3 linked regions of the Stegostoma tigrinum genome follow. The protein of the gene in region 2 interacts with the protein of the main gene of each other region in a pairwise test. Links are inferred from orthologs where the notes say so. Each region holds a gene or a part of one and is shown on either strand. Other genes may lie near its edges.

Evidence for each region. The genes of interacting proteins can lie anywhere in the genome.
Region 1: the proteins of transcriptional regulator QRICH1-like (region 2) and nfixb interact in binary tests that used the Homo sapiens proteins (3 or more experiments, as listed by UniProt). The two-hybrid records come from large-scale screens. The link is inferred for Stegostoma tigrinum from reciprocal best matches to the Homo sapiens genes QRICH1 and NFIX.
Region 3: the proteins of transcriptional regulator QRICH1-like (region 2) and hspb8 interact in binary tests that used the Homo sapiens proteins (3 or more experiments, as listed by UniProt). The two-hybrid records come from large-scale screens. The link is inferred for Stegostoma tigrinum from reciprocal best matches to the Homo sapiens genes QRICH1 and HSPB8.

The regions. Positions count from the first base shown.
Region 1 is NC_081388.1:16,189,703-16,197,370, forward strand, and holds the start of nfixb (nuclear factor I/Xb), read right to left. Parts: upstream 3,003-7,668; 5' UTR 2,881-3,002; coding exon 2,870-2,880; intron 2,621-2,869; coding exon 2,524-2,620; intron 1-2,523.
Region 2 is NC_081364.1:993,642-1,000,796, forward strand, and holds the start of transcriptional regulator QRICH1-like, read right to left. Parts: upstream 3,059-7,155; 5' UTR 2,939-3,058; coding exon 2,936-2,938; intron 1-2,935. UniProt on the Homo sapiens protein: Transcriptional regulator that acts as a mediator of the integrated stress response (ISR) through transcriptional control of protein homeostasis under conditions of ER stress.
Region 3 is NC_081379.1:36,596,566-36,604,195, forward strand, and holds the start of hspb8 (heat shock protein beta-8), read left to right. Parts: upstream 1-4,628; 5' UTR 4,629-5,093; coding exon 5,094-5,502; intron 5,503-6,674; coding exon 6,675-6,738; intron 6,739-7,630. UniProt on the Homo sapiens protein: Involved in the chaperone-assisted selective autophagy (CASA), a crucial process for protein quality control, particularly in mechanical strained cells and tissues such as muscle. Displays temperature-dependent chaperone activity.

The DNA of each region.
Region 1 (7,668 bases), on a different chromosome or scaffold from region 2:
CATCAACACCATCTTCTCAAATGTAGGAACAAAAAATGAAAAAAATACTATTGCCACAGAACTCCAACTAAAATTCTCCATACCAGTCAGCTCTTGCTGCAAAAAATCCAAAATTGGAATATCAATTTCTTTCAATTTAATTTTAAACTGCTCTGTCCAGTAATTCAACACTGAAATAAATGAGCCAGTGATATTGCTGTTGTGGTATGAAATCTATGACAGCAACGGAATTAGTCAGTTAACAATGAGCCATATCTGTCATCTGTAATGCACCACGCTGTGTATGAGTTTCAGCAAGTATGCACGATTCAAATCTACCTCCCACGTATTAAAACTGCAGAAATAAATCAATTTTCACCAAGTTAATCAGTGGGGATATTTAAACAATCTCTTCCCTCCATCACAACCCCAACCCTCCCTTTTTGACTTACAAGTTATCTGTAAATTCATTAAATAGAATTAAATAATTTCCTTCTGCAAAATGACCCAACTGTTCCTGCTCCCTTGGTTTTACTAAGCACTCGGTACAATATAAACTTCTGTAATACTGGAATTGTACGCTGCACAACATGTTCTTTCGTCGTCCTGCCCTTTCCCCTGCGAACAGGAGAGGCTGGGATGGGGTCAACCACCTTCTACAGGTTAACCCGGCCTCCGTTTTTTGTGAATTCTTCCCCAAAACAGTTACACTAGAGCGCTTGCGTCTGAATTGCAGCCCTTCAGTTCGACTGGTGGGTTAGAAGGAGAAGCGGCTCATTCCAGGCAGCTGATTTACAAATAGAAACAACTATTTAACGTCGGCGAAACTTCAATTATTCGCGGCGTAAAGCTACAGAAAGCATTCGCACAATGTGCCACCTCGCCAATCACGCAGCCCTCTCTTTTGATCTGCCAGCCACACTTAAACTGCAGGCCTGCAACTGATTGAAATCTCCATCAGAAAGTGTGCGTTCCTGTTTGGATTACTGAGAGGGCAAAAAAATTAAAAAGCTTTTGTTATATTTCTCCACAGTTCAAAACAATTGACTGTTTACACTAAGAGACAAGTAGGGGTAAAATAAAACGCTAAATTGCCAACGATCGGAATCAGTAAACAAATGTAAAACGAATTAACGGGTAAATTACAGTCTATAAATCACACACACCAGCTACAACCAAGGCAGATCTTTACAAAATGGCTTATCAGGCTACTCTGTGTCAAACTCAGTCACAAAGGCCTGCAAGACTGCCTCAGTTGTATTTTATTTTTGTCCTTCTTTTCCAATTAATGCTGCCGGCATAACAATGCGACCTCGGTGAAATTGCTTCAGGTACTAATCGATTAGGAAACTGATTGTAGAAGTTTCAGGCTAGAATTTTTAATTTGAGTGTTTTACGGCTAGTGGATTATATTTGTTTTTTTTAATATATACCTCCCCTCTCTGACAGAACCACAAACTGTCAAACTTTTCTGGGCAATTTCTACACACCCCAGCCCCACCCCACACCCCGCCCCCCCACCCCCGTGAGAAAACAGTTCTTGCAAAAATACACAGCTGACCAGACTTGCGCACCTTTCCACCTATCGCTAAAAGTCCGGATGCAACAAAGCGAATTACTCTTACCCAGATAGTCACACGGGTCACTCGAAGTGAAATATACAAAAGAAAACGCACCACACAGGCAGGCTGCTAATAAACGAGGCTGCTCTAGTGATTACAGAATATTGTGCACGAGCGACAGGCGCAAAGAAAGGCACACTTTAAAATAGATACGGGACATTACAAAGAAAAATCCGGATAAATTGCTCAAAAATTGCTCATGTCATCTGATTTACTATAGAATGAAACTGACCTAAATTAATCTCACAACAGGAACCCACGGTCTGTTTGTGAAATAGCTCTATATGGTCTGCTGATGGAGATTAAAGGGAGGTTCATTCACATTCTCGGGTTTGGAGAAATAAGGACTGAAGTATTAACACATAGGCCGAATCTTAAGACATTCTCAATCGTTATCAACCCAGAATTTTGCTATTTTCCACAAAAAGGTCAGTTTAAAAGTGATAGGAAGGCGAATTCCTGCAATATTTACACGCCAATATTTGCAAATCACAGGGGAAAAGGTACTCAAAATGCACCTAAAATTGTGGGTCGCGGTTAAGAGAATTAGCCTGGTTCAGAAGAATATGCAGTATTTCACACTATAGCAGATAGAATAAAGGCAGGGGTTTAACAACAAATTAGAAACCCCAGGTCAAAAAAAACACACGCATTCACACGACCATCACCGCCACTTTCTCTTCCTCTTTCACGAGGTTTAAGGAACCAGACAGCGGGAAAAAAATCCTTTCTCAACACCCAAAATTCAAAACCTCGTAAATATAACGCTTGTGCTTGCTTTAAACGTTTCAGATGTTAGCCTGCGTATTGAACTGAGCTTACAATTCCACTTTCTATCGCACTTTTGTTATTCTTTCAAAAAATGTCTGCTCAGAAAGTATTGAAAGAGAGAAAGAGAATTCCCGATTCACACAACACGTACCATTGTGGTGTGGGGAAATTTGCCAGAAATCACTGTATCACTTCCACTGCAAGCCGCAGATCCAGGAAACTCCCTAGTCCGAGAGGCAAGTCCATGTCTAATAAAGTGCGCCGGTCCCAAACCATCGAGTGAGCGATTGAGAAAGAGAAAGAAAGATTATTTCAGTCAAAAGTTGCCTTCGAATAGTCCGACACATAAAGGTTTTCCTTTTCTCTATGCATTTCACTGTATTTTCCTTTCTGTTTAGACTTTACCGGGATCGGTTTTCCCAGGTTAAAGTTATACCTTTTCCTTCGCGGCTTCGGTGAAACTTTATTTTTTTCTTTATAGAAAAAGTTATTCTAACCTCTGCAGCATTGTGATTGCGCGGCCTTCCCGCCTCAGAGAATTGTCAGGAAGAGCAGTCTGAGTGCTGAGAACAGAAATCTCTCCAAATACTGCAGAGGAGAGAGTGAGAGGCTTTTGAGAGAGAGCCGATAAGTCCCACTTCCATCACTAACTAACTAACTAACCGCTCAGATCTCGGAGTTGAGCCGTGATTTGTTTAATAACTTTTTGTATGTGTGTGTGTGTGTGTGTTTTGTTTTGCATCTGGCCTGTAAGCGCTGGGAGAGCAGCTGCTGTGTCTGTGTGTGTCCCTGTGTGTGTGTTTTTGAGCAGAATTACAGAGTGAAGAGCCATGAACTGGGGCTTGTTTTAAAGAGGCATCGGCGCAGAGGGAAAGTTACTGACAATAAGTGCGAGTACATTCAGTCTCATACGATCTCCGAGTAGAACCAGCGACGGGACATCGTGATGACGGGCGGGGGGGGGGGGTGTTAATTTAAACAGGAAAAAAAACTAAAACAGGAGAATTTTCGCAAACAGTGCGTAAAAGTAATTGAAGTGTGTAGATATTTTTAATTTGCAAAAAGCGCCGACACATTTGCTAAATGACGAGCTGTTTCTTTTTCAAGTAGAGGGAGAGAAAACGGTCGGCGCGAAGTGTTGCAGGAGACAATGGAAGGGCAACTTGTTAGCAGCGAACGTTACGGAACAACTTGAGCCTCATAGATACCAGACTATCCAACTCAAATATGTTATTTCCAGCAGTAGGAATCGATTTCCAAAACTTAAAACGTTTCTCTAAAAGTACACCCCCGCCGCTATGACCACCACCCAATTACAAAGTTAGTAGTGTCAGTCCTCTAGAAGGGAGGAGAGGTGTAAATTAGTTCCAATTTTTCCTCGTAGAATGATTGAGTGAAACCAGTTTGTCTACGTGTGTGTGTGCGCGCGCATAAAACCAATAGCGGACTTCAAAATAAATCGATTTAAAGTAAGAGCCCTGAACTTTCCGGGTTGACTTCAGTTTAACACTACAGCCTCAGCAATTGTTGGATATTATGCTTGCAGTTCATCCCAAACCTCCTTCACTACCCTCTCCTGGCTTTCAAAACAAATTGTCGAGTGATGTTTCTGTTGTGGGTAGCATTTGAACTTCCACAAGTAACCTGGAACTTCGAAATGTCTGGCTTTTAACTAATTGCAAATGTTAGAAAAAAAAGAACGCCCCTGCTAAAACAAATCTGTTTTTAGCGCTTGTTAAAACTCAAGAGTTTACTGTTACTGTAAACAGCTGTGTTTTTTTTAGTGATACACATTCGGAATTAGGCTGGCTGCAAATTGTCTCCCAATAGAATTTATTCAAGGAGTATCACCGAAATGGGCCCGGTGCGATTTCTGCAATGGGATTTAATTCCTCAAAGTTGCAGCCTTCCACAACTTCTGTGTCCCGGTGCATTACAATAGGTATCCACTAATTTCTCCTTCAGCCCAACCCGATTGCGTCCAAATATACAGCGAGGTCTGCAGACAGGGCAAATGAGGACTGTGTAGGAAGAGGGAAACTGCAACATCTGGGAATATATCTGACAAGCATGTGTGAAAATGACGATTCTATCGGCGCTGCAGCGTTCCCCGAATACGCCCGAGCGCCGCTGGTACAAAGGCAAATAAATCGGTTCGAAGTAAAAGGGGCGAAGACACAGAAACACCAAGAGTGTTCCATAAATGGGATTCACTGGCCAGTATTTCACCTCAGATAAAACAACAGCAATAACGCAGTCAAATCACATTAGTAATTACGTCCTGCTAATTAATAGAGGTGAAGAAAGAGGCGACTGCCGTTTCTTTCAAGATAAAATAACAACGGCGTTTTAACAGATAAGAAAACATTTTGTTTTTTTTTGAAAAATGAAACGCCCACGAAGAATCACGAGCTGGTATTTTTGCTTTTTTTTTACTACGCGCTGGTAGAAATATTGTCTGAGATCTCTGCACTTTTGGGGTTTACCTCAGGAATCACTGTATTGTCGGTTAGGTTGTATTGGGGGGTAGGTTTTGAAAGCGTGACCATCTCCATATAATTCTCTCGAGTGAAACAGACTACCCCCTACACTCTGCCATCCCCCACCCCCATTCCATGCACCTTAGTGAGAGGGAGAAAGAGAAAAAAAATCTAGTTTTCAAATGGCTTCCCTTATTGACTGAATGTAACTTTTGCCTCGAACTCTCGCTAGGCATTTTTCATAAAGTAGAAGAGAATAAATTCAATTACATTTGATGGGTACCTATATCCTGTAATCACGACAAATTAAAAATCGCAGCAAGGTGTATAAACAGGGAGAGACAAAGTTTTCAGTGAGACTGCAAGACAGAACAGCCGGTGCGATACTGACCCACTGCAAAACGGCTCCTATACAAGGGGAAATTACTACCTTTGACTGAACGAAGTGGAAATTCACGACACTAGATCCCGGATCGATAATTTAAGGAATAACGTGCAGGGGTTGTGATAAGGAGTCAACAGCTTCCGCACAAGTTTCAAACCCTTTAACCCTTTCAGCTCCACACAAGTTTTCAATCGCTGCAGGCAATCAATTGCAGATAAAGAAATGGTCATGGATTCATTTTGTAGACTTCGCAACTGGCTTCCAATCTCGCCATCAAATAATCTTGTGCCGGCGTGGATTTTTATTTAAATTTTTGCTTCAAGTCATATTTTTTCCCCCGAGTTCTGTTTCCTCTGCTTGTAAGGAACTGTCGGAAAGAATCTTTTTGGAAAGCGCCTGGCAGGGTTTTGGGCGAAGGCGTTTGGAGATGGACGGGAAAGTGGTAGTGGTGAAAAAATTGTGGTGAGATGGTGTTGGTGAGAAAGCCAAGATAGACTATCCAAACTTCCATTGTTTCAGTTATGCACGGCGCTCAAAACTGATTTGAGACAATGTTACAAAACGCTCTGGACAGGCTGACATACAGGTACATCTTTCGTTTGGGTGAATGTCCAATTTCGAACTCCGCATCTTTCAATAATAAAACATGTTATAATTGAAACGCTTCCCGAAGTATTTAGTTCAGGTACTTTCACAGCTGATTCTCTCTCTACATCAAATCTACCCAGCTGATAGCTCGTTAAATTGCCTAGACACGTCTTCAATTTAATTAAATGCAGCATTTGCAATTTTCGTTTTGCTTATTAGTAATAATTTATTCATATGAACTTTACTACGCAACAGAATTAGAGCTCGAACAATGTAGGGATCCGAAACAGATTCCAAATTTAGGTTAAAGCATTTTAAAAATGTATTGAAATGCTAATTTTGTTAAGCGTTTGTATTTCACTTTACCCGCCGTTATACTAATTCCATACTCAAACAAATTCCATACTCAAAGGAACAGAAATACACAAACAGAAAAACAAAGACACAAAAACACACGAACAGAAACACAAAAAATGTGTGCACGCACAGAGATACACACATACTCAGACACAGATAGGCACACATACACACACACACAACACAGATACTCACAGAGATGCAAAGACACAAACACACAGATACTCACACGGAAACATACATACACAGACATGCACACACGCCATACAGACGCGCAGATACACACATATAGATGAACATACACACCCACAGGTATACACACACATTGTGTATATTCAAGAAGGCTGCAATGAAATGAGCCAAAGACTATCCGAACTATTCTGCTATCACGAGATTTCTAAAACTCTAAATTGCTTCTTTATTCCAATTTGTATGATAATTAAACTGCTTTTAACTTGTTGAACTCCTCACTATTTGTACAACTTATTGATTACTATCAAATCAATCTAAATCTCAGTGTTCCTGTGCAAACTCTAACACGGAATTCGAAAAAGAAACATTTCAAATTGTGGTGCCAAGTACATTTTACATTGATTTCTAAATTCCACTTTTTAAATTGGAAACTGAATTGTCGGAAGAAATTGATTTTGGGCTGTTTTTATTTTCTAAAAGCTGTGTCCGTGATATCAGTAGCTAATATTAATTTTACGCATTAATAAAGAAAATCTGCATTCTACGTGGGTTTAGAATTAAAATGCCGATCTGTTTGATACTCCTTAACTCAATGTACTGGAGTTTGGTTACAAACTGTTTGATGCTGTATTTAAATGCGTTAAAAGACCTTTTTAATTCATGAATTATGCGATTTTGTTCTTACAAAATGTTCTGCAAATGTGTTTTCATGAATATTTGAGATCATGTTTAACCTCGTTTTTATTCACTACATAATTATTATTTAACTTTTTTAAAAAACTCACTGCTTCGAGGCTTTGTTTTGAATGTAGTACACGGGGTTCACTTGTAATAATAACCTTTCTGCATTAACGCTTTAGTTTGATTAGAAAATATTTTAACCCTGTAATCCTGTGGTTTCTAGGTGCTTGCAGATTTTTTCATCTCAGTCGATCTAACAATAAAGTATTTGCATCAACGTAATTTGAAATAAGTCTGTTTTGTTTCACTATTTTCAACAGTATAAAATCGAATATGACCACAATTTGGAGCATATTCTTAGTTTTCTCAAGTAAGCACACACTCGCTTTCCAAAAATTGTTAAAAATGAATGTTAACGACGATTAATACAGGACCTCCAGAAGTGTGAGGAACCGAGTAAAGCTCTTTTCCACGATTGCTTCATTTCTCCAGCCACTACCGTTGTCCAGCCAACAACAAGCACCACATCTCACCCCACTACCCATATCTAAAGTTATCATTTGCTCTCTGCTCAAATTCGAAGCAAAGATTACATCGTGAAAACGTATGTACG
Region 2 (7,155 bases):
AAGCAGGAACAGGCTATTGAGTTGGATGATCAGCCATGATTGTGAAGAACGGAGGAGCAGGCTCAAAGGGCTGAATGGCCTCGTCCCTGCTCCTATCTTCTGTGTTTCTATAAACCTAACCAGGGATCAGGCTATTTTCAACCCAGTAATGTGCAATGAGGCAGGCTGTATAAATAATCTCAGAGTAAAGGATCCCCAGGATCAATGTCCATAACATGGTAGAATTCAGCACTCGGAATGAGAGACAAAAATTGGGTCAGAAACAACACTGTCATACTTAATTATGAGTAATTTCAAATAAATGGGCACTGTGTTGTCTAGAGTGGGCTGGGAAAGGAGATTAGCTACAAAGACGGTTGAGAAACAATGGCAGACATTTAGCAAAATAATTCACAACTCACCAGCAGAGGTACATCCCAGTGAGGAAGGGGATAAATCGACCATGGTATTAAGGACAGTATCAAATCCAAATTGAAAAAAACACAATGTTTTTGTGGTAAGCCAGAGTATTGGTAAAGAGAAGAAAAAGCAATATTGAGAGCAAACTATAAAGTAATATCAAGGAAACAGTAGACAAACTGAGAAAATATTCCACATTAGTCTTCAAGATAGAAAGCACTAACAGCATTCCAAAAATACTAAATGATCAATGGACAATATCAGGGGTGCAGGGGAAATAAATCACTAGAGAAAAAGTACTAGGTAAAGCAATGAGTCTAAAGGCAGTTAAATCCCCTGGACTTGATGGGATGCATTCTAGGTTAAAGGTAGTAGTCTTCCAAGAATTCCAATAGGTTATACAAGTCCGAGAGGAATGGAAAACTATCAATGTAATAGCCTTGTACAAAAAGGGAGACAGCAAAACAAAAAAGACAACTACAGGCCAATTAGCTTAACATCCAGGAGAAATTACTGCAGATGCTGGAATCTATGCTGAAAACAAAAAATGCTGCAGATCATAGCGGGTCAGGCAGCATCCAGGCAGAGAGAAAATTAATGTTGAGTCTAGATGATTCTCCATCAGAGCTCAACACCTATCATTGGGAAGATGTGAGCGTCTATTAAAAAAATGTAATAACAGAACATTTGGTAATAAATATGTTCAAGCACAGTCTGCAAGGCTTCACAAAGGGGATATCACATCTGACACATTTATTCAACTTCTTTAAACAGGATACATAAGAGGAGAACACGTAAATATAATATATTTGTATTTTCAAATGTGTCTGATAAGGTAACACATGCATGGCTACTTATTAAGACAAGAGCCTGTGGTGTTGGGGTAGTACATTAGCACAGATACAGGATCGATCAAGTAATAGAAGGCAGGAAGTTGGGATATGGGGGGATGCAGTTTAAGGATAGCAACTTGTAACCACTGAAGCACATGGATCTGAGATAGGGCCACAATTATTTACAATATACATTAATGACTTTGATGGGGGAAGTGAATGTACTGGAGCCAAGTTTACGATCAACACAAAAAAGGAAAGACAAAATGTTGCAGAGATAAGGACAGGTTAAATAATTAGTCAAAAAAATTGGCAGATGGAATATCATATGGGGAAATGTTATGCACTTCAACTGGAAGAATAGAAAAGCTGAACATTATTCAGCATACTGTCTATAAGCATTTATTTTTGAAGTTCTCTAACCTAAAGGGTGCTGATGCTCCTTGTGCGTAAATCACAAAATGCTAACACATAAGCTCGACAGGTAATATGGATTCTTGGCCTCTAATTCAAGGGGAATAGAATATTAAAAATACTCTATTGTTTACTTTAACCATGAAAGGCATTAGTCAGACCACAACTGTTTTGGTCCTGTGACCCAAGGGTAGACATATAGGCAGCTCTGGGTATGGAGGGTTTTTTTCTTAAAATTTATTTGTGGGACATGGGCAACATCCTTAGCTGTCCTTGAACTGAGTGACTGGCTAGGCCGTTTCAGAAGGCATATGAGATTCAACCACACTGCTGTGGGTCTGGAGTCACATGAAGATGGCAGATTTCCTTCCCCAAAGTATATTATTGAGCCAGATGGGTTTACGATTTCATGGCCATCATTAGACTGTAGATTCTAAATTCCAGATATTTTATTGAATTCAAATTTCACCATCTGCTGTGACGGGATTTGAACCAGGAAATTAACTAATTTTCTGGATTAGTTATCTACTGATAATACCATTAGGCCAAAGAGGAAAAGGTTGAATAGGTTAGACCTGGACTCATTGGAATTTAAAGGAAGAACAGGATACTATTTGAGAACATGAGATTTTGAGGGATCCTTACAGCATAGAAAGGGAGCGTTTTTCCTTTAATGTGAGGGTGTTATCTCAGAATAAAAGGCCATCCACTTAAATTAGAAATGAGGACTTTCTTCTTCTGGGAAGTAGTGTATCTGTGGAACTGTACTGTAGACAGCTGTTGAAGTTGGGTCATTATTTTCAAGGCTGAAATTTACAGATTTGCAATCAGTAAAGGAATCGAGGGTATTGGGGAAAAGGCTAAAAAAGGGAGTTGAGGATAAGCTATAAACTCGTGAAATAATAGCACAGATTTGATAAGATGAATTGCTTAACTCTGAACCTTTATGTTAAGGAAAAACTCAGTTCACTGAGAGGATTCTAAATCTTTGTGGGGTTCTCTAACCCAGAGGATTGTGGAGGCTTGATTGTTGACTATATTTAAGCCTGGGGTAGACTCATGTTTGGACAGTGAATGAACAGAGGAATATGAGGAGCGGGATCAGCGCGAATGGTAATAAATATCAGTGATCCCTGACGGCTGCGTCTATCTCTCTACGATTCGGCGCTACACAAACGTACCTTACTGGCGTGCAGGCCACTGGAGCCTCGGCGGCTGAGTGCTGCCGGAGCCGATGGCCAAGCACTCCCCGGGCCCTCACCCAGCTCCCTCCCATCCCCCGCTCTCACCATCCTGGGCCCGGTTCGTTCTGGAGCCTGCCTGTCCGCTTCCCTGCAGCCCGCCGACGCCTGCGGCCTTGCCCCCGCTCGATCCTCGGTGTCGGCCCGAACCCAGATCCCGCGGCCGGGGACCTGACGTCAGCGCGCACTGCCTCGGGTGCGAGCACGGCCCTAACCACCCGCGGGAGCGCGCGCTACCTGAACGGGGTGGGGGGGGACGCGCCTTTCTTTCTTTCGCCCCCTCACTTGGCGGGGCCCAGCCGCCCGGTTCCTTGCTTACCTCAGGTGGCAGCGCTGGAGGTACCAGCCGGCCAGACGGGCGGGTGACCTGACGTGAAGGCACGCGGCTCGGCTTCCCCCACCGAGGCCCGGGCTCCTTTTTGCTTTTCCTCCTCCTTCGGAGTCTCACTAAGCCGCCATCTTACAGCCAGCCCGCCTCCGCCAATCAGAGCCGCCGCTAGGCACCCGCCAATCAGCACCAACCTCCAGCCTCCACCAACCAGCGCTGTTTTCCCGCCTCCACCAATCAGAGCCGCAGACCAACAGTAATCTCGCGAGATTCTAGTGCGAACCCAGTGTCCCTTAAAGGGGTCGTGCTGCATCTTGTCGTCGTGGGAACAGCTGGAGGGTTGAGCCTCTCACACCTGCCTTATTCAAATCATTGTCAGTCTGCATCTAATTCCACCTTGTTTCCCTTCCCTTCCCTTTCATGTCAGTCATTTGTTTAACTCTTAAACAAAAGGAAAGAGCTGCGGATGTTGTAAATCAGGAAACAGAACAGAAATTGCTGGAAGAGCTCAGCAGGCATGGCAGCAAATGAACGTTTCTGGTCCAGTGACCCTTCCTCAGAACTGGTGTTATGGGGAGAAGGTAGCAAAATGGCATTATTTGAATTGATCAATTGAAGACCGGTAATAAACATCACTGGGTGAATGGCCTTCATATGTGCCATGACATATCTGTGACTCATTGACAGATTAAATAATGGCCAGGCCATTCAGATAGCTCCCATGATGTTCAGAAATTTCAGAACATACTGATGCATTGTTTCTGAGGAAGGGTCATTGGACCCAAAACTTTAACATGTGTCTGACTCTTACTTGCCCTCTGAAATGGTCAAGCAAACCCCTCCCCCTGCTCAGTCCATGGGAAAAAGCTACCATCCAAGTTCGGTTGGTATTAGGGAATGTTGGCCTTTATTTCAAAAGGAATTGAGAATAAAATTAGGGAGTCTTGCTAAAAGTGTACAAGGCACTAGTCAGACCACGGCTAAATACTGTGAAGTTTTGAGCCCTTATCTAAGGAAATACATAACAGCATCAGAGACAGTCCAGAGTAGTGTGATAGCAAGTATGGGTGAATTGCCTTATAAGGAGAAGTTGAGTATATTGGGCCTGTACTCACTGGAATATAGAAAAATGAAAGCTGACTTTATTGAGGCATACAAGATTCTTAGGGGACTCCTTCCAGCACAGAAGTGTTGAAAGGTTGTTTTCTCCTCTCTGGGAGAGACTTAGGAAGACATCATCGTTTTAAAAGATGAGACGGCATAGTTAAGAGAGAGAGATAAGGAATTTCTTTTCTCAGGGCAGTGAATCTGTGGAATTCTATACCACAGAGTTGTCGAGGTTGGGTTATTAAGACTCTTAATACCTTACTGATTAAAAACCTCAGACTTTGAGGGCTATGGGGCAAAGGCAGGAAGGTGGAGTTGGGAACAATCATATCAGCCATGATCTCATTCAATGGCAGAGCAGATTGAATGGCAAGAATATCCTACTTCCATTCCTACATCTTATGGGCTCACAAATGGCAACAAATGCTGGCTTCTCATGCACTGCCTTCATCTCATGAAACAATAAGGTAAAATTTTACAATCCTACAAAAATTCACAGATAGAAACAAAATGTAATTGATAAAATGAGTGGACCTAGCAGCATATGCGCAAAAAGAAACAAAAGTAGTGTTTTGAGTCCAGAATGAAACTTTTCTCAGAACCAAAAGGGTCTGAAAAAGTTGAGATTTATGCTGTAGAAATGGCATGAGTAAGGAACTAGTGGGGAAAATCCACCAGTATGTTCTGAAATTTCTGAACAGTATAGGAGCTATTCGAATGTCCTGGCCGCTATTTATCTCTCACCGAGTCACAGATGTATGTTATGGCACACATGAAGGCCACTCAGCCAATGATATTTGTACTGGTCTTCAAGTGATCAATTCAATTAATGCCATTTTGCTACCATCTTCTCATAACCCTGCATATTCTTCCTTTTCAGATAATGATCTAATTCCCTTGAGAATACCTCGACTCAACCAGACTCTGCACTGCAGACCGTAACCTTTTGTTGGGTGAAAAGTTTTTTGTCATAGTGATGTTGCTTTTCTTACCAGTTACATTAAACCTGTGCCTTCTTATTTTCATTCCTTTCACAAGTGGATACAATTTCTGTCTATCCACTCTGTCTCAAATGTCATGATCCTGTTGGCAAGATGTGCCACAAATCAAGCCCCAACATCCCAATGGTCATTTCAAATGTAAAGACGACCAACTGAATCACTAATTACTTTAGTTGACCTTACCACTACCTAAGGTTTAAAAAACTCACACCAGGTTTCAGCAATAAACAAGAAACAAAAATGATCAATTATGAGAACATAAGAATGAGGAGCAGGAGTAGGCAATTCAGTCTTTCAAGACTGCTCTGCCATTTGATATGAAAAAAAAACTGGGATTTTACATTAGATAGTGGCTACACAGTTGCCAAGAGGTTGGCTTTTAATTCCAAATTTTTGTAGAATTCCAATTTCAGCATCTGCTACGATGGGAATTTACCCAAACCTCAGGACATTAGTCTGACGTTCAGGATCACTAGTCCACCACATCATCAAATCCCCAGAAGAAAGTGGCAAATTGAATTATTAATTAATAATGTGCAGACCTGAACTATATCCCCTTTAAATCCAAACACACATTACTTTGTCATTCATATAAACAATTGGAATAAGTATATTGAAGCCTGGTTATTAGTTTGCGGATGACACCAGCAGACAGTGAAGAAGGTTATCAAAGAATACAACGGGATCTTGATATACTGGGCCAGTTGGCCGATAGACCTAGGGGTGCAGGTTCATAGTTCCTTGAAAGTGGCATCATGGGTAGACAGGGTGGTGAAGAAGGCATTTGGCATAGTTACCTTCACTGGTCAGAGCACTGGAATGTCATTTTTGACGTTACACAGGACGTTGGTAATGTGAATTTTTGGAGTACTGTTTGGTCATCCTGCTATAGGAAAGACGTTACTAAATTGACAAGATTTACAAGAATATTGCCAGGATTGCAGGGTTTGAGTCACAAGGAGACGCTAGGTAAGCTGGGATCTGTTTCCCCTGGAGCATCAGAGGCTGTGGGGTAAAGTTAAAGAGATTTATAAAATCATGAAGGGCATAGATAAGGTGAATAGCAAACGTCTTTTCCCTAGGATAGGGGAGTTCAAAACTAGAGTGCATAGGTTTCAGGTGAGGGGGGAAGGATTTAAAAGGGACCAGAGGAGCACCCTTTTCAAGTACAGGGTAGTTCGTGTATGGTATGAACTGACAAAGGAAGTGGTAAAAGGGACCAGAGGAGCACCCTTTTCACGTACAGGGTAGTTCGTGTATGGTATGAACTGACAAAGGAAGGATTTAAAAGGGACCAGAGGAGCACCCTTTTCACGTACAGGGTAGTTCGTGTATGGTATGAACTGACAAAGGAAGTGGTAAAAGGGACCAGAGGAGCACCCTTTTCACGTACAGGGTAGTTCGTGTATGGTATGAACTGACAAAGGAAGTGGTAAAAGGGACCAGAGGAGCACCCTTTTCACATACAGGGTAGTTCGTGTATGGTATGAACTGACAAAGGAAGGGGTAAAAGGGACCAGAGGAGCACCCTTTTCACGTACAGGGTAGTTCGTGTATGGTATGAACTGACAAAGGAAGGGGTAAAAGGGACCAGAGGAGCACCCTTTTCACGTACAGGGTAGTTCGTGTATGGTATGAACTGACAAAGGAAGGGGTAAAAGGGACCAGAGGAGCACCCTTTTCACGTACAGGGTAGTTCGTGTATGGTATGAACTGACAAAGGAAGGGGTAAAAGGGACCAGAGGAGCACCCTTTTCACGTACAGGGTAGAAGCAGGTACAGGTACAACATTAAAGGGATTTGGACGGGTACACGAATAGGAAACGTTTACG
Region 3 (7,630 bases), on a different chromosome or scaffold from region 2:
TAGAGCATAAACGATTGAGGAACCATGTACAGGCATGGATTTTGTCCATGATTACGGACGGAAAACAGATTGTAGGAATAAATGGTTATTTTCAGATTGGTAAACTGTGACTGAGATCAGTGCTGGGCCTCCAATTGTTCACAATCCATATGAAGTACATTATATTTTTGGACAATATTTTCACATGATAATGCAGAACCAGGTGGAAATGAGGGTTGTAATAAGAATGTAAAGAAGCTACAGGGGAATTTAGACAGGTCAGTGAGAGGACAAGACAATACGTGGAAAAATCTGAAATGGTGCACTTTGATAAGAAAAACAGAAATGCAGAAATATTCTTAAGATGTGAGATATTGGGAATTGTTAATATACTCAGTCCGAATTGTGATAAAAGGCGTATGATATATGTTAGCATCATTTGTGGCTTGGATTTTAAAATGGAGGCAAATTTGGTCAGTCCTGTAAAGGTGGTTTTGTTAGAAAGGTTAGAAAGTCATTTGGAACATGAACCAAATGCATCATTTCTAAGTAAGCAAGTGACTTCAGTCAAGTGCCTGGCAGGGCACTTGTGGTGTTACTGTATGGAATGTTTATAATGCAGAGTTCACAAATAGACCAGAGGCCATTCATTTCACTTTTGATTTCTGTTCTGTTCAGAAGGGAGAACAATTTTCTTGCTGCAGGAGAATCAAGTTTTTCAATTCAGTTCAGGGGAGCCAGTCAACCTGAGGAAATGGTTTTTACTTTGTGGATCTTCCAAGCTGGGAGAGCTTGTTTAGAGGCCTTCAAGTTGTTAGAACTGAAACAGTCAGGCCATACGAATTGTGCAAGGTTTATGCCAACAGACTCAGAAAAAAATGGTCGAACATGTCCCAGCAGTCCAAAGAAAAGGATCTGAGAAGTTAGATTCTGTCATTAGATAACATCTGCGTGTTTGTGATCATACTTTCATGACCAACTACCATAGTAACCAACAGCAAAAATCATACACATGATCTATCAAGCCACAGTTCATTCTGATTTCTGGCTTGTCCTACATTACCATCAGCTGGGATCATAACAGAAATCACCAAAAGCTATTGTTCAGGTACAGAGAGTAATTAGAAAAGCAAATGGTATGATACCTTTTACAGCAAAAGAAATTTACTGCAGGAGGAATGATGTTTTGCTGCAACTATATAGGGCCTTAGTGAGAATGTACCTGGAGGATTGTGCACAATTTTGATCTTCTTCACGAAGAAATCTTACTTCCCTCTGAGGGAGTGGAATACTCATGAGACTGATCCCCTGAAGTGACTGAACGGTCTTATAAGAGATTGAGGAATTTGAGCCAAGGATCCCTTTAGTTAAGAAGAATGAGAGGTGATTTCATTAAGGCATACAAAATTGTCACTGAGGGTGATATGCAGGATGGATGGCTCCCATGGCTTGGTGTACAGAACTAAAAGGAGAGGCAAGTTATTTAGTACTGTGATTAGGAGGAATTTCTTAACTCAGAAGCTGATGAATCTTTGGAGTGATCTACCCCAAAGAGCTGTGTGGAGGCTCATTATTGAGTATATGCAAAATGGAGGTCAATAGATTTCTAGATATTAACAATATCAAGGGATATAGGGGAAATGCAGGAAAATAGCATTGAGGTAGATCAGCCATGATGGAGCAGGCTTGAGGGGCCAAATGATCTACTTCTGCTCCTATTTTCTATATTGCTACAACTCCTCCAATGCAGTCCTATGACAGTTATGAAGACGGAGAGGTGGCTGCCCTGTTGTCTTCATGTTGTAAGGCTGTAAGATTCATGAACAGGGTTAACAATGGAACCCAAGCCAATGTAAACATTTAAGAATGGGTTAAGTAGGCATGTCAAGAGGATTAAAGAAATATATGAGCATTAGCCATTTCAAAAGAAATAGGGAGAGAGGTAAAAGACATGGGGGGCTGCATTGCTAATCAGGGATGGTATCACAGCTGCAAAAAGACAGGTAATTGAGGAGGGGTTGTCTACTGAGTCAGTATGGGTGTAAGTCAGAAACTGGAAAAGAGCGGTCATTTTTTGGGAGTTTTCCATAGACCCCCCAATAAAACAGAGGCATGGAGGAACAGATTGGGAGGCAGATTTTGGAAAGGTGCAGAAGTAATGGGGTTGTTGTCATGGATAACTTCAACTTCCCTAATATCGACTGGATCCTCTTAAGTGCAAATAGTTTAGATGGAGCAGATTTTGTCAGGTGTGTCCAGGAAGGATTTCTGACCCTATATGTAGATAGGCCAACTATAGGGGAGGCCATGTTGGATTTGGTGCTTTGTAATGAACCAGGCCAAGTGTCAGATCTCTCTGTGGGAGAGCATTTTGGTGACAGTGATCACAACTCCCTGACTTAACTATAATCATGGAGAGGGATAGGAGCAGACGGTATGTGAAAGTATTTAATTGGTGGAGTGGGAATTACAATGCGCTTAGGCAAGAACTGCGGAGCATAAATTGGGAACAGATATTCTCAGGGAACTGCATGACAGAAGTGGGGAGGTTGTTTAGGGAGCACTTGTTACAAGTTCTGGATAGGTTTGGCCCACTGAGGCAAGGAGGGGATGGTAAGGTGAAGGAACCTTGGATGACAAGACATTTGGAGCATCTAGTCAAGAGGAAGAAGGAAGCTTACTTAAGGTTGAGGAAGCTACGATCGGACAGGGCTCTAGAGGGCTACAAGGTAGCCAGGAAGGAACTGCAGAATGGACTTAGGAGAGCTACAAGGGGGTCTGAAAAAGCCGTGGCAAGTAGGTTTAAGGAAAACCCCAAGACATTCTATACTTAAGTGAAGAACAAGAGGGAGGTAAAAGAGATGGGGGACTGGCATTGTTAATCAGGGATGGTATCACAGCTTCAGAAAGGGAGGTCGTTGAGGAGGGTTTGTCAGACAATTTTTGGCAATGTTTGACATGTTTGTCAGAAGGTCAGAGTGAGGGTAGGGCCGATCAGGGATAGTGGAGGGAACTTGTGTGCAGAGTTGGAGGAGGTAAGGGAGGTCCTTAATGAATACTTTGCTTCAGTATTCACCAGTGAGAGGGACCTTGACATGTGTGAGGACGGCATGAAACAGGTTGATATGCTCAAGCAAGTTGATGTTAAGAAGGAGGATGTGCTAGAAATTTTGAAAAACATGAGGATAGGTAAGTCCCCTGTGCCAGATGGGATATACCCAAGGTTGCTACAGGAAGCGAGGGAAGATATTACTGCACCTTTGCACCTTTGGTGATGATCTTTGCATCCCCATTGTCCACTGGAGTAGTACCAGATGGTTGGAGGGTGGCAAATATTATTCCTTTGTTCAAGAAAGGGAATAGGGATAATCCTAGGAATTGCAATCAGTCTACAGTGTGGGCAAATTATTGGACAGGATTCTGAGAAATAGTATTTATGTTTATTTGGAAAAGCATAGTTTGATTGGAAATAGTAAGCATGGCTTTGTGAGAGGCAGGTCATGCCTCACAAGCCTTGTTGAATTCTTTGAGGATGTGACAAAACACATTGATGAAGATCAAGCAGTGGATGTGGTGTATATGGATTTTAGCAAGGCATTTCATAAGGTTCCCCATGGTAGGCTCATTCAGAAAGTAAGGAGGCATGGGATACAGGGAAATTTGGCTGTCTGGATACAGAGTTGGCTGTCCAATAGAAGATAGAGCACAGTAGTAGATGGAAAGTATTCAGCCTGGAGCTCGGTGACAAGTGATGTTCCACAGGGGCCTGTTCTGGGACCTCTGCTCTTTGTGATCCTTATAAATAACTTGGACAAGGAGGTGGAAGGGTGGGTTAGTAAGTTTGCCGATGACACAAAAGTTGGTGGAGTCGCGGATAGCACGGAGGGCTGTTGTACGTTGCAATGGGATGTTGTCAAGATGTAGAGCTGGGCAAAGAAGTGGCAGACGGAATTCAACTCAGAGAAGTGTGAAGTGATTCATTTTGGAAGGTTGAATTTGAATGCAGAATACAAGGTTTAATGGCAGTGGTGGGCGTGTGGAATGTGCTGCCAGCAGTGGTAGTGAAGTTACATACGTTAGGGATATTCAAACAATATGACATGGATGATAGTAAAATGTAGGGTATGCAGAGTAGTTTGATCTTAGAGTAGGGTAATAGGTCAGCACAACATCATGGACCGAAGGGCCTGTACTGTGCTGTACTATGTTCTATATTGCATCAGGGTTAATCCATTTGGATGGTCAACACCTGAATAACTTGTTACAGTTTCCTTTTATTAACATTCCTCCATTGGCCATCATACAGAAGACATGAAATCACTACTTCCTGGAGGCAAAGAAAATCTGTGGAGCCACAGAACAAAGCATGCTTTTGAAAGTCATCCCCACCCCCCCCCCCCCCCCCCCCACCGTATGTGAAGTGCTGTGAGACATTTCTGAGCAATTGATGAAACATGAGTGAATGCGAATCTCCGGCCCTTGCTCATTTTTTGTCCACAGAAAAGCAGGACCAGTTCTGGATTGAGATAATTGGTGACCCTAGAGACGGGCTTTCCTTGTGATCTAATCGTCGACCTGTGAGCATTGAGCAAGGTTGGGAACGTTTGCTGTCATCTCTTGCTCGTCTGTCGCCTTGTACTTTTCTGGGAGTTTGAACAGAAAGGGCGCAGCTCCCTAACTCTGGAGTGGAGCGGCAGATACGTCGTTGCACAACTTTATATGAACTCACTCCTTAAGGTTCCCAGGCACCTTGAGAAATATTGAGGGGAATGGAGACGGGTGTAATGTTTATGAATCAGTTACATAGCCAGGCAGCCAGCACTCGGGGCTAGTAAACAAGGATGACTCGGAGTTGCTTTAAATAGGCTGTGAGGAGGCAGGACTGAACTCCTCTGCTACTCGGGCTATGGCTAAACTTGGTCAGCTCACGTAAGAGGGGCCTGATCCTCTCTAGGGGCACGTCAGATTCCTTTCAATTGCTCATAGATCAGATTAAACAGATGACAACTGGCGATCGCCTCAGCTCCAGCAAACAAGAAGAAGTATAAAGCCCGGGGCGCACGACAGGGAGAGGGTCAGAGGAGACTTTCTGGAGGGTCTAGGCAGAAGCAGCGATGGCTGAGAGTCAGGTCCCATTTTCCTGCCAGATGCCTGGGAGACACAGGAGTAGCAGGGACCCTTTCCGAGAGCCGGCCTTATCTTCTCGCTTCCTGGACGATGAGTTCGGCATGCCAACTTTTTCCGAGCACTTCACGGCCGACTGGCCGGACTGGGCGAGACCCAGGCTCACCTCCACTTGGCCGGGGCCCCTGAGATCTTCCTTTAACGGGGCGGCTCGGGACTCTGCGGGTATCTACGGTCCGGCGCCTCCTCATTACACGGCTCGTTACACCGGCTACCCCGAGGCCAAGAACCCGCCCAGCATCAACCCGGGGGAACCCTGGAAGGTGTGCGTTAACGTGAAGAGCTTCGCCCCCGAGGAGCTGACCATCAAAACCAAAGATGGGTTCGTGGAGATCTCAGGTAGGCCGGGGTGGCGGGGGGGGGGGGGTGGAATAGCGGGTGCTGAGGGAATTTTGTACCGAAGGTCGCAGAGAGCTGAGTGAAGGTCAGTCAGAGGGACAGTTCTGTCTTGTGTAGGGGCCCTCTCACCCCTCAAACCACTTCACTTAAGGAGGCGAGGGTGCATCAGAGCCTATAGAGTGAGGAGGAAGGGGGTGCGATATAAATAAAAATAAATCAACTATAATTCCATCATTTCTCACCTCTGCAAAAAAAAACTTGTCGAGTCTTGTTATGCAAATCATGGGGGAGAACCGAGAATGTTGGACAAACAAATTTCAGATTCAAATTCCAATCGTAGATTTCTATCAGTTTGTCGAGTGTACGGGGCTCTGAAATAGATCGAAATATATCCGTTGAAATTATTTAATACCTCGCCTCTCCACCAAGACTTACTGAGTCCTGTCATTATAAAACGTGGTGCGGGGAGGAAGCGGGGGGTTGGTATTGTTGGACAAATTCATAGTATCAAAGACTCAAATTCGAATCATAGATTTTTTGATTCCCTGAGTTGATCCAACGTTTGGTGTGTGCGTGTGTGTGAGACCCACTCTCATGTTTTGTGTAACAGGACAGCATGTTTTATTGAAGTTAATTCCATGGTCTCAACATGTACGAAATTGTCCAAAAGGATTTTGTTTTTCTCACTGGGGTATTTTGGGTTTTGAATAAATTTAAACCAGGAGACTAGACCATGTTAAAATAGCCGTTTTTGATGCTGATGCGGACTGTTCTATAGTTGTTTTGCGGAAAACACAGGATTATGGTGATTTCAGGTGAAAATTACTAATGTAATTGCTTTTAAGAGATGTGCGTATTGCTAATAGAAGTCCACACTGAAAAAGTGGCTGATGGTTTCGAAGCTGAATTATTTGGATTGAGGTATGAATCCTGTTCCAGGATTCAGGGACTACAGATAAGCAACAGTTTTAGACCTTAAGAGACATTACAAAGACTATGTAGGAGAGACACAGTTCGCTAATTGACAATACAGTCCACTGCGAATGAACAAGACGCTGGCAAATCTGAAATTCTCGATCTTGAACAAGTTCCTGTCTGAGGCAAATCAAATGTAAGATATTGTGCCGTTTGATTTTTTTTTCCCCTGACCTTTCCCCTTTGCATCGTTCTAGGAAAACACGAAGAAAAACAAGAAGAAGGAGGAATCGTTTCGAAAAACTTCACCAAAAAAATCCAGTAAGTAGTAGAAGGGATAGACTAACAGAAGGGGAAATGTATGCGAATGTTAAAAGAAGCTGTTTAATTAGCTCGGGGAAGTGTTCGTAGCTTTCATATTTTTTGAAGTACGCAACTTTAATGTTCACTCGTGGGTCTTACGGTATAAAACTTGGCGATGCCAAGAAACAGAGCTCATAAACTTGTGGGGGATTCCTTGCTTGCTGGAGGAAAGGCGAACTCCTTATTTGGTGATAGAATCGCTCTGACTTTAACAATAGGTTTTCACGGTGCCCCACAGCGGAACGGAAACCAGACTCTCGAGTTTGTGTCAAAACTGGACGATCATGCAGTTTTTTTGCACTCGCCCCTTCCCCATCTGTTTGACTGCCGTTGTCAAAGTGCTGCTGGGGGACCGAGGGTGCTAGTCAGGGGGCTTAAAGATCGCTGTCTAGTCCCCAGCTCCTCTTCTGGTCGACAATGCTAATGATTCCCGCATCCATCTTGGCACTTAAGGCTGGGCTGAAATTTTATTTGATGGTACGTAATTCAACTATTCACTACTTCAGATGGAAACGTTATCCAGTTTATTGTAAAGATACTGATGCCTTTGGTAAAATGGCAACAGAGCTAATGTGAACACAAAAAAATGCAGTTACTTTACATGGTAAAGCTTTTGAGTCAAAGGTAAAAGTACAGTGCTACTCGACCGTGGGGCGGATCTATACCCTTAGAGAAAGAAAGACAAGTAGTGGTCGTTTAACCTGAGAGTCACTACGACCTAAGCGAGGGGACAAATTGAGAAGGAGAATCTTCACGGTAAGATCAGCTGGTTCAGAAATGATGCTGATTCCGTCACTCTGCATTGCAAAATAGCTGGCCTGACAATCCAGCTGACCAATCGCCAAAGTTT